Linked DNA regions of Lonchura striata. The protein of the gene in region 1 purifies or fractionates together with the protein of each later gene. This does not show direct contact. Links are inferred from orthologs where the notes say so. Each region holds a gene or a part of one and is shown in the gene's direction. Other genes may lie near its edges.

The links.
Region 2: the proteins of TSR1 (region 1) and RRP12 purify together in Homo sapiens (affinity purification with mass spectrometry; 3 studies listed by BioGRID and IntAct, counting the BioPlex papers as one, with this or other methods). This does not show direct contact. The link is inferred for Lonchura striata from reciprocal best matches to the Homo sapiens genes TSR1 and RRP12.

What each region holds. Positions count from the first base shown.
Region 1 is NC_134622.1:7,226,522-7,234,231, reverse strand, and holds the start of TSR1 (pre-rRNA-processing protein TSR1 homolog), read left to right. Parts: upstream 1-4,697; 5' UTR 4,698-4,719; coding exon 4,720-4,825; intron 4,826-4,895; coding exon 4,896-4,999; intron 5,000-6,169; coding exon 6,170-6,386; intron 6,387-6,466; coding exon 6,467-6,601; intron 6,602-6,908; coding exon 6,909-7,336; intron 7,337-7,596; coding exon 7,597-7,710. Other genes in the region: POLDIP2 (polymerase delta-interacting protein 2), read left to right, coding at 207-286, 1,743-1,857. UniProt on the Homo sapiens protein: Required during maturation of the 40S ribosomal subunit in the nucleolus.
Region 2 is NC_134609.1:18,922,987-18,930,153, forward strand, and holds the start of RRP12 (RRP12-like protein), read left to right. Parts: upstream 1-4,160; 5' UTR 4,161-4,191; coding exon 4,192-4,330; intron 4,331-5,146; coding exon 5,147-5,385; intron 5,386-5,485; coding exon 5,486-5,569; intron 5,570-5,797; coding exon 5,798-5,874; intron 5,875-6,042; coding exon 6,043-6,148; intron 6,149-6,319; coding exon 6,320-6,436; intron 6,437-6,538; coding exon 6,539-6,677; intron 6,678-6,964; coding exon 6,965-7,092; intron 7,093-7,167. Other genes in the region: EXOSC1 (exosome complex component CSL4), read left to right, coding at 1-25, 104-188, 292-449; PGAM1 (phosphoglycerate mutase 1), read right to left, coding at 1,978-2,147, 2,236-2,416, 2,911-3,185, 3,549-3,690.

The sequences.
Region 1 (7,710 bases):
GAGTATTAGAGTATGACTGGTGGTTGGAAAAGTGGAATAATAATGGGATCCTGGTGCTACTCAGTGGACAAATTGTTTGCTGTGTAATTGGCAGAAGTGCTAGGGTGTAGGTCCCTGTTTGGTTTTTTTCTCATGCTATATAAATTTCCTGTTGATGCCTATCTGTGGTAGAATTGCTGATGCCCAGTGGTCTTTTGTCTTCTCAGGAGCCAGTTTTGTCCAAAGAACAGCCAGCATTTCAGTACAGCAGCCACGTCTCCCTGCAGGCATCCAGTGGTCACATGTGGTAAGAAGCCCTTATTGTTGCAGCAGTGTTTTGGGTGTAGGACCCCCCAGCAGTAAGCTGGGGTGCAGATTGCAGCCTGAGGTTGTGGCTGAAAGCTGGGTGGAAGTGGACTGGACAGGGCATAGCTGGTAGCTAAAATTTTATGAGCTTCTCTCTAGCTGTATCCTAGTTAGTGATCAGATGATCTTTTGGTTCTCTGCACCAGGATAATTTATCCTCCTGCTGTAGTAGACTGGATTTAGAGACATTAAGCAATTCTTCCTTTTGTCCTTGGTGCAAGAGCCAAGGCCTTGTACTGGTGATTCCTCAGCAGCAGGGATGTGTGCTCTGGTGTCTCTTGAGAGAGGGCTGGGCTTTAACTCCATCTCTGTGCACATCTGTGTCAGGAATTGGTCATGCAGGGGTTTTCCTAGTTTAGACCAGGTAAGGACTCCAGTCTAACTGGTGTTTAAGTTTCTTCTTCTGTAAGTGCTGGGAGAGAAGTGCCCAGCTTAGTTGTTCTTTCCCTGTGCTTTGGGATTAAAGCAGCTTGTCTTTATTTGCCTTTTGGGTTAGCACATTTGTGTCACCTTTGCGTGGACAAAGATTGCACAGCAAACTCTTGCCTTCCATATGACAGGTCCTTCTGCATTTTTTAAAGGAAATCTTCAAAGTTAAGTTGCCTTTGAGTTGGGAAAAACAGGAGAGCAGCTCTTTGTATATAGGGTGTACCTTGTTTGTCATGTGAAGTGTTTTGAATTGCCTGAATGGATGCCCTGGGGAATAAAACCAGATGGTCTAGTAGTTTTTCCCTCTCTGCATACATCCTGACAACAAAGAGACAAAGGTTCTGCAGCTCAGAAGCTGCTCAGCTTGACTTCTGGTGTTCAGTTGTGTCCTCTCTGTCCTGAGAACATGTTAATTTATCTCAACAACCCTCTTGCCCACGTTGTGTTCTGTAGTTCAGAGCAGGAAACAAATGGTTGTACCAGGACAGGCAGGCTCAGTTCTGAAATGCAAAGCTGAAGCTATTCCAAATTACATCTGTGATGGGACTTCTTAATGTCATTGGCAACCTGTGGAGCTCCTGCCAAGAAACACAAATCTGAATTTACATGTAACCAGTCTGTAAAAATAGCTCAGATGGCTCTGTCTCCTGGGGAGTGGGAGTTGGGTAAACACCACTGCAGGTGCATGGAGGATGCTTGGGTGCATGTGATGATTGCTATGGGCTGCAATCATCACAGCTTTGTGCAGGAGATATGTTAGGGATGTGCTGTAAAACTGCCCAGGAGTCCTCCATAAATGAGTTATCTTGGCAGCACATGTTTGCAGCTGAGCCCATGTCCTTGCTGCTGGACCAGCCTTGCAGATGGACCCCCAGGACGTGGAAGAGCTCAGGTCTTTCCCTTTTGCTGATGTGTCTTAGGTGTGTTTGTCCCTGGCCTCAGTGTGACCTCTGCCATTATTTTTGCAGGGGCACTTTTCGATTTGAGAGGCCTGATGGCTCCCACTTTGATGTCCGAATCCCACCCTTTTCCCTGGAAAGCAACAAAGATGAGAAGACCCCTCCCTCTGGCCTTCACTGGTAGATCAGAGTGCCCAGAGCCACGGAGGCCTGTGTGTGTTGTAGACCTTTGCCTCCCCTTTATGCTGCAGCCAAGAACACGGAGCTTTTAAACATTGTAAACCATTTTTGTTGTAACTGTTTTCTGCCGGGGAGGATTTTTTTTGGAACTTTACTACTGGCCCTTCTCTCAGGCTGCTTGTAAAACATAAGCTGTGTTCCAGGTAACCCTTCCCTCTGTGGCACCTGCTGGGTTTTTGGGGCTGGGGGATGTAGATCTATGCTGCTGCAGAAGACTGGCCCTCCTCAGCAGGCCTGGACCTTTCCAATGTGTTGTGACTTCTCTGCAATGTGAGGTTTCTCTAATAAACTGGCCCTTCCAGTTGCAACCAGTCTTCCTTCCTAAGCCAAGGCCCTGGCTTTGCATCCAGCCTGTCCCAGCTTGTTGCTCCCCCTGTGTGGAGTCAGCCCAGAGTTCTTGCTGCTTCAGAAGCAGCTGCTCCTTCTATAGGGAACAGGAATGTGAGCTCAGCTTTTCTGCAGTGCAGCTGCTTTTTGGGATTCGGATAGAGTTGGAGCAGCCTGTGAGCTCCACTCATGGCACAGCTTGTCTGGGTTTGTGCTCTGATACAAAGCCTGTTCTTTTTGGTGCAGAGGGGACAACATGGGTGATGTATGGTGCTGTCACAGCATCCTGTGTGTGCAGAGCACCAGGCTCTGTATTGTGATGGTACAGGAGAGCTGAGAGGAGCCCTCTCCCTGCCAGGGCCTTGCTTTGCTGCAGGGATTTGCATCTCAGCTGCTGGAGGTTATTCCCTGCTCACACTGACTGCAGCAATATTTCCTTGGTAGTTACTGCTGTAACAGGGATGCTTGTTTTCACTTGGAATGCTGTGAGGCAGTGCTTGGCTTTCTGTTCCTGCTTGCTCTGCTTGGCAGGTTGTGATTTTTTGGTGGCATGTGTCTGGAGGGCCCTGCAGGAATGTGCAGGTCAGTGAAATCCCTGTAAGATGACAATGTATGGATGTGTGGGAAAGCCTGAGCAGCACTGAGAATTGCAAAGCTCATCAGCCCCCATGGTGTGGAACCCTTCTTGATGCCTCTGGGTTTCCAGACTTCTGCATGACTGGAAGGCAGAAGTGCTTGGCTTTGTGATAACCCTAGGAAGAGTTTCCAGCCTTCCTCCTTTCCCTACTCTTGCTTAAATGACAAGGTATAACTAACTCACGGGATGTTTTCCTTGATTTAGAAGTATCCTAGCTTTTCCCTCTTCCCTGGAACCCCCTCTAAGGCTGTTTGCCTTTAGCTCTGCAAGGCAGAGCTGAGGCAGTGCTGTGGGCAAACAGCCTTTGGGGGAGACTCTCATGCTGTGCCACAGCCACTGGATTCCTGTTTAGAGAGACTCAATCACTGCAGTGTTCATCTGTCACCAGTACTCTTCAGTTTTGTGTCTTCCTTCCTCTCAGGTAGTGCTCATATTTAGAGTTTCAAAAGTTTAAACAGCCAGTCTGCTTTTAGGGGTAGGAAAGGATCCCTAAAGACCATTCACAGCTGACAACCTGACATTGCTGCTGTCATGCTGATTTCCTCTCAGGAGGAGGAGGTGGGAAGATGCCTCAAGTTCAGAGGCAGCAGGAACCTGTAGGAACCTGCTTTTCCCTTCCCATGCAGCTGCCCTGGCTCTCCCTCGGCTTGCTTCAGCTTTCCTGGCGATTGCAACACCCCTGTGAATGTTTAACCTAGCGATGGAGTGATCCCGGGGCAGGCTCTGCTGGGGTTTGGGGTGATGTCCCATGGGGGCTGAGGCCTCTGCCTAGGAACGGACATTCCTGCCTGGATAATGATTAGCAAGACCGAGGTCACCGCGGTAACAGACCGGGGACAGGAGGAATGTTTCCACTCCGGCAGGCTTTGTCCTGTCCTGGCGCCTGGGCGCGATGCCAGACGCTCGGCAGGGCCTTTCCTCAACTCCTTCATCCCCCCGGCCCTTCCCGGAGCGCGGCCGAGCCCTGTCTCCCTCTCCGTGTAAATACCTGTACAAAGAACCAACCAATAAAGCGCTGAACGAACGGCTCTGCCTCCCGCCTCTCATTGCCCAGCGGCACTACGGCCACCAACCCCGGGGCTCTACCCTCCGCGCCTCGGGGCTCGCCCCTGCCCTTTCCCCGGGGCTCGGTCCCGGTCCCTGTCCCGGGGCTCCTTTCCCAGGGGTCGGTCCCAGTCCCCGTCTCGGGCTCCTTTCCCGGGGCTCGGTCCCGTTCCCGGGCTCCTTTCCCGGGGCTCGGTCCCGTTCCCGGGCTCCTTTCCCGGGCTCGGTCCCGGTCCCCGTTCCGGGCTCCTTTCACGGGGCTCGGTCCCGGTCCCGTTCCCGGGCTCCTTTCACGGGGCTCGGTCCCGGTCCGGGGCTCCTTTCACGGGGCTCGGTCCCGGTCCCGTTCCCGGGCTCCTTTCACGGGGCTCGGTCCCGGTCTCCTTTGCCAGGACTCGGTCTCGGTCCCGGGGCTCGCCCTTGCCCTTTCCCGGGTTCCGTCCCGGTCCCGTTCCCGGGCTCCTTTCCCGGGTCTCGGTCCCGGTCCCCATCCCGGTCTCCTTTGACGGGGCTCGGTCCCGGTCCCGGTCCCAGGCTCCTTTGCCGGGGCTCGGTCCCGCTCCCGGGCTCCTTTCCCGGGGCTCGGTCCCTGCCCCAGTCCCCGTCCCGGGCTTCTTTCCCGGGGCTCGGTCCCGGCCCCGGGGCTCGGTCCCGGTCCCCGGCTCCTTTGCCGGGGCTCGGTCCCGCTCCCGGGCTCCTTTCCCGGGGTTCCTTTCCCGGTCCCTCCCTCTCGCCGCCCACGTGCGATCCCGCGGTTCCCGTCGCTGCGGAAGTGGCGCACGGCGGCGAGGCGGCAGCATGGTGATGGCGGCGGCGGGCGCGCACCGGCCCGGGCCGCTCAAGCAGCAGAACAAGGCGCACAAGGGCGGCAAGCACAGCGGCTCCTCGCAGCGCCGCGCTGGAGGTGAGACGGCACGGGCTCCCCGCCGGCTCCCCGCCGCCCCTCCGCCGGCCTTACCGTTCTCTTCCCGCAGGCCGCGTCCCCGTCAAGGCCCAGCCTCGCCGGCGGCTCCGCGACCTGAGCAGGGTGGACCGGCGGCATCAGGCGCTGCAGCTCCGCCGGCAGCGCAAGGAGGCGGTGAGGCACCGGCGGAACCGGGCCGGTCGTGGCGGGGCAGCGGGAAACGGGTCGGCTCGAGTCTGTGCCGGAGGGGGCTTGAATGCGGCCGTGGGGCTCTGCGTGCGGGCCGTGCAGTCCAACCGGTTTGGGTTTTTGCGGAGGAAACGAGCGGGTGCCAGGCCCGGTTCGGGCCAAGCGGAGGGTTACCGGACCGGGTGCGGTGTGGGGAAGTCTGGCCTGGGTCGGGAGCGGGAGAAGAGGCGCGTTCGGGCTGGCATCCACACTCTGCCCCGGGGCATACACACCCTGCCCCGGGGCATCCACACCCTGCCTTTGGGCATCCACACTCTGCCCCGGGGCATACACACCCTGCCCCGGGGCATCCACACCCTGCCTTTGGGCATCCACACTCTGCCCTGGGGCATTCACACTCTGCCCTCAGGCATCCACACTCTGCCCTCGGGGCATCCACACTCTGCCTTTGGGCATCCACACCCTGCCCTGGGGCATTCACACTCTGCCCTGGGGCATCCACACCCTGCCTTTGGGCATCCACACTCTGCCCTGGGGCATCCACACTCTGCTCTAGGGGCATCCACACCCTGCCCTGTGGCATCCACACCCTGCCTTTGGGCATCCACACCCTGCCTTTGGGCATCCACACTCTGCCTTTGGGCATCCACACTCTGCCCTGGGGCATCCACACGCTGCCCTGGGGCATTCACACTCTGCCCTGGGGCATCCACACCCTGCCTTTGGGCATCCACACCCTGCCTTTGGGCATCCACACTCTGCCCTGGGGCATCCACACTCTGCCCTCGGGGCATCCACACCCTGCCCTGGGGCATTCACACTCTGCCCCAGGGCAATCACACTATGCCCTGGGGCATCCACACCTTGCCTTTGGGCATCCACACCCTGCCCTGGGGCATTCACACGCTGCCCTGGGGCATCGACACACCCTGCCCTGGGGCATTCACACTCTGCCCTGGGGCATCCATACGGTGCCCTGGGGCATCCACACTCTGCCCTGGGGCATCCACACCCTGCCCTGTGGCATCCACACCCTGCCTTTGGGCATCCACACCCTGCCTTTGGGCATCCACACTCTGCCCTCGGGCATCCACACCCTGCCCCGGGGCATTCACACTCTGCCCTGGGGCATTCACACGCTGCCCTCACCCGCAGGTGCTGGCAGAGAAGCGCAGCCTTGGCAGCAGGGATGGCCCCCCGCACCTGGTGGTTGTGGTGCTGCTGCACAGCCGGGCTGCAGTGCAGGACTCGCTGCGGCTGCTGCAGAGCCTCAGCTCGGCCATTGTCCGTGCAGATGAGGGCGGAGCTGGTGGCTTTGCTCTGCTCTGCCCACAGCTCAAGCAGCGCTGGCACTTTGTCACAGCCCAGGCAGGTGAGGAGGCACTGCTGTTGCTTGGGTTCTTGGTTCTGGTGCCTCTGGCAGCCCCACTAATGGAGGTGTTTTGGGTGCAGGGGATCTTCACGCGGTTTTAGACCTTGCCAAGGTTGCTGATTCCCTGCTGTTCATCCTGGATCCTGTGGATGGATGGGACAGTGCAGGGGAACACTGCCTCTCCTGCCTCTTTGCACAGGGGCTCCCCAGTTATGGTGAGAAATGTTTTGGGTTTCTGGGGGTGCTTAATATGGGGAATGAGTGTCACAGTAATTAAATTTCAGGGCTCTGTCACCTTCAGTGAAAAGAACTTTTTTCTTATATTGAGGTAGAAGTTCTTTCATTTCAGTTTATGGCTGTTGCTCTTTGTTCTGCTGGGCACCACTAAAACCAAACTCCCTTTGTACCTGTGGTGCAAATCTGGCCATTTGGGCTGCTGACATCCAAGTGTTTGCCTGTGTTTGGTAAAAAGAACATCAGGAGTTTTAGGATCTGATGGGAGCTCTGTTCTTTGCTCGGCAGCTCTGGCTGTCCCGGGAGGCACTGACCTGCCCCCTAAGAAGAGGATAGATGCCAGGAAGAAACTCTCCAAATCCATTGAGAAGCGTTTCCCCGAGGCCAAGCTGTTCCCACTGAACACGGAGCAGGAATCCTCGCTGCTCCTGAGGCACCTCAGCTCCCAGAAGCAGAGGCACTTGGCTTTCCGGGACCGCCGCGCTCACCTGCTGGCCCGTGCTGCTGAGTTTGTGCCCAGCCAGGACAGCGACCTGCTGGGCACCCTGAAGGTGTCCGGCTTTGTCCGGGGACAGACCCTCAACGTGAACAGCCTGGTGCACATCGTGGGGCATGGGGACTTCCAGCTGAGCCAGGTGGATGCTCCCCCTGACCCGCTCTCTTTGAACCCACGGGTGGTTAAAGGACAGAAGAGGAGCCAGGACATGGAGGTTCAGGTGTGTGGGGTGAGAGCTTTGCCAGTCCTCTTAGAACATAAGTTTTCTAAACTTTCATTGGGGAAAATACAGCTGGGGGTATGTGGGTGAGGAGAGGGGAAGGAGAGTTCTATCTGTGTTCTGCTGCTGGGCTGAGGTTTTGTGCCTGCAGTGTGTAATGAGGGTTATGTCATGACATCATGAAGGGAGTTTCACCTGAGACTGACTGCAAGCTTCAGTTAGGTGTGTTCAGATCTAGGAACTCTGCTCTTCCCCTTCAGGATGACTCTGGAAATGGTGCTGTTGAGATGGAGGAAGATGTCAAGGTGCTGATGAAGGCAGATCCAAGCAAGCAGGAGTCTCTACAGTCAGAAGTGGTTCCTGATCCCATGGAA
Region 2 (7,167 bases), on another chromosome or scaffold:
CAGTGACATCGTCCTGGCCAAAGTTGTATCCTTCCTCCTCAGGGACACCGTGTTGGCTCAAGCTCCCTTGTGGAAGTGTGTCCCTTAACCCCTGTCCAACCAGATCTCCCTGGGGGATGCACAGTCCAACTACCTGCTGAGCACAGCAGAGAACGAGCTGGGTGTGGTGGTGGCACGCAGCGAGGCAGGTAAGGGCAGGACAGGGACAGAGACAGGGACTGGGCTGAAACAGTTCTGCCTCATTCCTGCCTTGGGGGCAGCTGATGCAGCTGCCTCCCTCTCCATATGGAGGAATGCAACTTTGGGAAAGAGCAAGTCTGACATTACGTGCCCAGGGGTGCAGATGGTGCCCATCAGCTGGTGTGAGATGCAGTGCCCACGGACACACACCAAGGAGTTCCGTAAGGTGGCCCGGGTGCAGCCCCAGTTCCTGCAGACGTAACAGCTGAGGGGGGCAGGGGGCTGCAGCACTGTGGCTGTGGAGCCAGAGCAGCCCCTGGGCTCCCACCTCCTTCACAGGTTCAGCCAGGCCTCCACTGGCAGGATGGGTTTGCTACTTGTGGATAATAAATTTTTTTTGAGAGCTTCCTGCTTCGTTCTTTACAGTAAGTGGGGGAGCCAGGGCTATCCATGCACTCTGGTCTGGCTCCCACAGCACAGCAGGTGAGGGAACAGCTTCCACAGCAGCAGGGGCAGAAGGAAGCACATTTTCACTGCTGGTGAAGGGGAGTGATGGAGTGACTTTGCTGCAGTGACGCCAACAGCACAGAGCCCCAGGCTGCAGCTGTGTTGGGCACTCCTCACCAGGTTGGTTTCCCCACACAGGAGTCAAGCCTGGTGCAGAGCCTGTCTCAGCTCACCACTAACCAGTGTGGGCCGTGGCTGAGAATAGCCTGGGGACGTATCTCATCTCCTCAGGCCACACATGCTTGCCCTGCCCTATGGAACAAGGGTGTGGTACACACAGACCAAAAACCAGAGCATGGCAGGGTGTCACCCTCTTGGGCAGAGATTGCAGAGCTGAGCTTTGCTCCTTGAGCCTGGCACAGCTTCTGCACCCTCCTGTCTGTGCCCAGCAGGGATTGCTGCCTTGTGCACGTGCTGGCAGCAGGGAGCCCACATGGCCCAGAGACACAAGGACACTTCCTTATTGCGCATTACTCCTTTATTGAACTGGAACAAGACGGCTGCTATGGTTGGACAGTTACACTGACCCTGTGCAAGCCCAGGCTCACGACACCGGCAGGGGGGAGGCCACAGTGACAGGCCACGTACACATGTGAGGGATGGGACACAACAGCACCTGCTTCACCAGCAGGACGAGGATGGGCAGCAGCTGGGGGAAGCATGTTGCAGACACAGACCTCCAGGCAACAGGCTCCCTCCCTCACCCTTGTCTGAAGGCAGTATAGTTAAAGCAGGGGCTGGCAGAGCTGGGCCCAGAGTCATGAGTACTACCCTGGGGTGCTGCACCACGTGCACCAAAACACAACCCTTCCAGCGGCATCCCAGTCACTGTGCCACACACCCACAAGGGGAGGGGGTACCCACATTGGTCACTGCTGGCACTGCACTTGCCACACTGCTCCCAGGAGGACTAAATCAAGTGACAAAACTACAGTAAACAGGTGACGAGAGCTGCCAGGGATGCAAAGCAAAGGAAGAGCCTGGCATGGTAAGGGATTGCTTGGCCTGTCCCTCTGCAGACAGGGTCTGAGGGTTGGGATCACAGCATGGACAGGTGTGGGGTCGCTGCCTGGTAGAGACAGGGCTCCCTTTCACACCAGACCTCCATGTCCAGCCCTCACCCCGGAGCCCCCAGGCTATCTGCAGAGGGGAGCCTAGTCTGAGGGAACGGGCCTAACCGAGGGGAGTGCCTCCAGCTTCACAGCTCCGAGTTCCTACAACTGTGGGGGTGTGAACAGAGGGGTGGGGGATGGCAGGGGGCTCTACTACGTGCTGGTCTGCTGCCTGCCCTCACTTCTTGGCCTTGCCCTGAGCAGCAACGGCCTCCATGGCCTTGCGCACGGTCTCCTCATCCCCCAGGAACTGCATGGGCTTGACAGGTTTCAGGTTCTTGTCCAGTTCGTAGACAATGGGGATGCCAGTGGGCAGGTTCAGCTCCATGATGGCCTCTTCTGACATGCCTGCAAACACAGCAGTGCTGTCACTCTCAGACCTTCCCACAGTGCCAGATGGGGAAGGAGGGGTCCCTGGGATGCAGGGGTGACCTACCTTCCAGGTGCTTGACAATCCCACGCAGGCTATTGCCATGAGCAGCAATAAGGACTCGTTTGCCCTCTTTGATCTGTGGGACGATTTCCTCATTCCAAAAAGGCAGAGCCCGGGCAATGGTGTCCTTCAAGCTCTCGCATGTTGGCAGCTGGTCCTCTGTCAGGTCGGCGTAGCGGCGATCCTGGGAGAACGACCATGCTCACACAGCAGCCCAGTGCCCCCCATCCAGTGTGGGAAGATGGTAGCAAGATTTTGTCTCTCCCCCAGATTCTCTACCTGAGGCCCCACTACACATAAGCAAAGCCAGGCTTGGAAGCAAAGAAGTGTCTTTGCAGTCTGGGGCTGCAATGGGCCACAGTCAGGGCCATGAGCCCACCTGGGAAAAGTCATACATTGCCTCTCTGGGCAAAGAAACCAGATCACACATCCATGAATGGCACTAATGATTAACAGAGATACTGTGCCCTCCACTTTGACTCTGCTGTGTGATGCCCAGGGGTTCAACTCCACACGGAAGAAGCAAGATAAACTCAGCCTAAAGTCTACCAGCACCATGCACAACAGCCTCAGATAACGCAACAGAGACACAGAAGACCTTATACAGGAAGCCAGGCTTTAGTGCAAGTGACTTTTAAGAGACTCTTAACAAGGCAATCAAAGAGCAATAGGTCTTACCTTTGCAATAGTGCTGTAGAAGGGGTGGTCAGACTGCATGGGAGGTGGAGGGATGTCATAGGAGCGCCTCCAGATCTTGACCTGCGCCTCACCATGCTTCGCTGCTGTCTCAGCCTTGTTCAAACCCGTGAGAGCTCCATAGTGCCTCTCATTTAAACGCCAGGTCCGGATAACGGGTAGCCACATCTGATCAATGGCATCCAGGACGGTCCAGAGAGTACGGATCGCCCGTTTTTGTACCGAGGTGAAGCAGATGTCGAACTCATAGCCGGCATCTAGGATATACGAGGAGAGGGGGAGGCGGGGGAAGCCCGGGAAGGTGAGTGCCTGGCCTTATGCAACCGGTGAAAGGGCAAGGGCGGCGGCCTCACCGCACCGGTACCGGTCGCGTCCTCATCTTTACAGAAAACGGTAGCGGCCAGGACGCGACCGGTACCGAAAAACCAACATACTGCGGTACCTACGGCTCTCCCAGCGGCACCGAACCCCCGACCCGGCACTGGAGGCCCTCGCCCGGCACTGGAGAGCCCCGAACCAGCCCCCGTTAGGCTCGACGGGGCCGCACTAGGCCGCGTCCTTTCCCCCCGTCCCCCGCGACCCCGCTCTTGGCCGGCATCCCCTCCCTCGTCCACCGGTACCTCGGAGGGCCTCGCCACCGCGCCGTGCCTCCTGCTGCCCGGCGGGGCTGAGGTCGGCGTCGTACCACCCGCTGAAGCGGTTCTCGAGGTTCCAGGCGCTCTCGCCGTGGCGGACGAGGACGAGCCGGTAGGCGGCGGCCATGGCGGGCGGCGGGACCGGGCGCGCGGCGGGACCGGGGCTGCTGCTCGCGCCGCTGCCGCGCGCGACTGACGCCCCCGCTCGGCCCCGCCCCGCCCCGCGCGCCGCCGCCGGGGCAAGCGCATGCGCCGAGCGCACGCCAGGCGGAGGCGCACGTACCACATGGCGCGGCCGCGAAGGGCGGTGCGACCTTCAGGGCGTGGCGTCACCGTGACGTCACGGTGCGCAGTAATACGTAAGACGTGACTCCTCGCCCCGGGCTGCGGGCTTGGTCTGAAGAGTTTCACAGGGCCGCGGCTTGGGCATGGGGATGTCTGGTGGCTGCCCCGGGGCCCTTCGGGTCTCCCATCTCTGCCCCGATTGGGCACGACCCCGCTAAGCTTCCCCGACACCGCTTCTCGCCCCCTCGGCCTTCCCTGACGGCTGCCCTCACTGAAGATGGCGGCCGGCGCCGGAAGCGGAAAGGGGGCGCTGGGCGCGGCCGCACGTGGAGCCGGGCCCAGCATGGCGCGGAGCGGGAGGCTCCGCTCGGGAGCCGCGGCCAAGCTGAAGCGTTGGCGGAAGGGCCACAGCAGCGACTCCAACCCCGAGACCCGCCAGCATCGTCTGGCTGCCCGCAGCCGCTTCTGCAGCCGGCCGGCGGGTAAGGGCAGGGGCGGGCGGGGCGGTAGGGCGCCAGGGCGAGCAGCTCCTGTCCTGTGCCCAGCGCTTCCCGGAGGGGCGCAGAGGCGCCGAGGGCTGTGGGGCGAGAGCCTCCGAGAGCTGCGGCTGGGGCAGCGGTGAGAGCGGAGCCGCTGACCGAGGCCACGGCGTAAGGAGTTAACCTCGTAGTGATACCAGGCCTCAGAAGCGGAATGAGCCGCTGCATGCTGCAGTTCCTGTCGCCCTGCGAGTCCCCCAAAACCCATGGCCATACTTCTGAGTGCTGCTGTGGTGTCTGGTGTGGTGAGGAGCGTGACAAACTAACATTTAGCCGGCCTTATGATGGGAGAGGGAAACCAAAGTGTGCCAGGCACTGTGAGAACACCGGCTGCTCTTGGCCAAGGAAATCTTTCTCATGCAGATGTTGGCTGCAGGCTGATGTCTGGGACTCAGAGGAATATACAGCATCTGTCCTGGCTGTCTGGTTGCTAGGGCTTCAGGTGGAAGGAGATAAATAGGGCTGAGTACAAGAAGCACCTCAGTGTTAAAGCCTTGGCACACCGGCAGACATTTGTGTGAGCATGGTGCTGTCTTCCATCAGAGATGACTGGACTGTGCTCTGTTTTTTTGTACAGGAATGAGGAGGTCTTTACAGTTATTAATGTGCTTTTGCCCTTTGGGGCAAAGCAGCACCTGTATTCCACATGCTGGATATGAGCTCCGGCCACGCCAGTCTGGCAGGGAGGGGAATATGGCAATTTCGGGGTGAATGGTGGAGCAATGTGACTTCACAGTTCTGACACATCTCTCACCCCAGGAGAGAAAAGTAACTTGACGGTGGATGCAGTGAAGCTGCACAATGAGCTGCAGTCGGGGTCCTTGCGTCCGGAGCGGGCGAGTGACAGTGCTCAGCTCCGTATGGAGGAGGACAGTGCTGAAGAGGCTGCCACAGAGAAGTCCTCTGGCACCTTTCTGAGTGGGCTGAGCGACTGCACTAACATCACCTTCAGCAAGGTGCAGCGCTTCTGGGAATCCAACTCTGCTGCTCACAAAGAGGTACGGACAGGAGCAGGGCTGGGGAAGGGGGGGATCTGGTGGGGATGGCCCCTGGCTGCGAGGCTAAAAGATGCTGAGCTGTTTTGCTGGCTGTTCACAGATCTGTGCCGTGCTGGCAGCTGTGACAGAGGTGATCCGCTCCCGAGGGGGCAAGGAGAGTGAGACAGAATACTTTGCTGCGCTGGTGAGTGCTGGTTATGTGGAAGAGGCGTGGGGGGAGCTGCTGCTGGCAGCATGGGTGGGCTCTGAGGAGGGATAGAGAAAGGTGCTGTGCTTGTAGCCCAAGTGGCTTTGTTCAGCAGAGATGCTGTTGGGCTGCTCCTGGTTTCTTTTCCCCCTCCCCAGGGGTTGGGGAAGGGCTGGTGTGGTGTGACCCCCTCCACCCCATTGCTTAGCCACCTTCTGTTCTCAGATGACCACGCTGGAGGCAGTGGAGTCCCCTGAATCACTGTCTGCTGTTGCCTACCTGCTTAACCTTGTCCTGAAGCGGTGAGTACTTTGCAGAGAAGCAGAGAGAGCATGGAAAAGGGATTGGTGCTGTCCTACCTTCCCATGCTGGGAAAGAAATCCAGCTGGGGTGAGCTGGTGATGCAGTCCCCTTTGTGACGGCTACTAGCTGTCTGCTCCTCATCCTACTGATATGTCCCCTTCTGGCAGGGTCCCGAGCCCAGTTCTTATTAAGAAGTTCTCAGATGCCTCAAAAGCCTTCATGAGTATTGTGTCCTCACAAGCCTGCAGCAGCTCCACGTCTGCCCTGCGATGGGTGAGTAGCCAAGAGGCAGCCAGCCATGTCAGCTCTGCTTGGGGTCTGCTGAGTGCTGGGGTCAAGGCTGCTGCTGTAGGGTGGTGCTGGGTGCTTGGCCTGCGGCCCTTGCAGGAAAGGAAGATGTCTCTGTGGGGTGATGCTAATGCCCCTGCTGCTCCCCTGTCATAGGTCCTCTCTTGCCTGGCCACACTGCTACGGAAGCAAGATTTGGCAGCCTGGAGCTACCCTGTCACCCTGCAGGTCTATCATGGCTTGTTGAGCTTTTGTGTTCATACCAAGCCCAAGGTGAGAGCCCAGTGCTTCTGGCAGGAGATGGTACTGCTTTGGGGGTTTGTTTCTGTACGCCTGGGTCTGTAGTTTCTACTCAGCTGGGTTCTTTTCCCCCAGGTGCGGAAAGCAGCGCAGTATGGCGTGTGCTCTGTCCTGAGGGGCAGCGAGTTCATGTTTGGTGATGCAGCCCCTGAGCATCACCCTGCAGCACCCTCCACCGCCAAGTTCTGTGTGCAGGAGATTGAAAAAGCTGGAGGTGTGGGGCACTGGAGCATGGGGTCTGTAGCTGCATGTGGGGAATTCTGCCACTGTGGGAGAGTAAGGACTTAGAGGGAAGAGGGGAGATTGCAGCACACTGGATTGCTGGGGAGGGAATGAGATATCTTTGGGGCACTTCTGGTGTTTTGAAGCCTCCTCAGCCCTTCTGGTGCTTTCCCAGAAGTTAGGGGAGTGTTCACCCTAGTTCTGTGGGTCAGCCCCACTGCTGTCACGGGGGCTTTGCTGTAGTGTCCCACAGGCTCAGAGGTTGCTCTGCTCTTGTAGGTGCCAAGGAGGCCACCACCACCCTGCATGTCCTTGCCCTGTTGCGGGATGTGCTGCCCTGCTTCCCTGCAGCTGTGGTGAAGACCTGCTGTGAGACCTTGCTCCGAGTCATGACCCTCAGCCATGTGGTGAGTGTTCTTGCTCCAGGGAGGACAAGGGCAGACCCTTTCCCATGGGCTACGCTCTTAAAGGGATCAAATTAT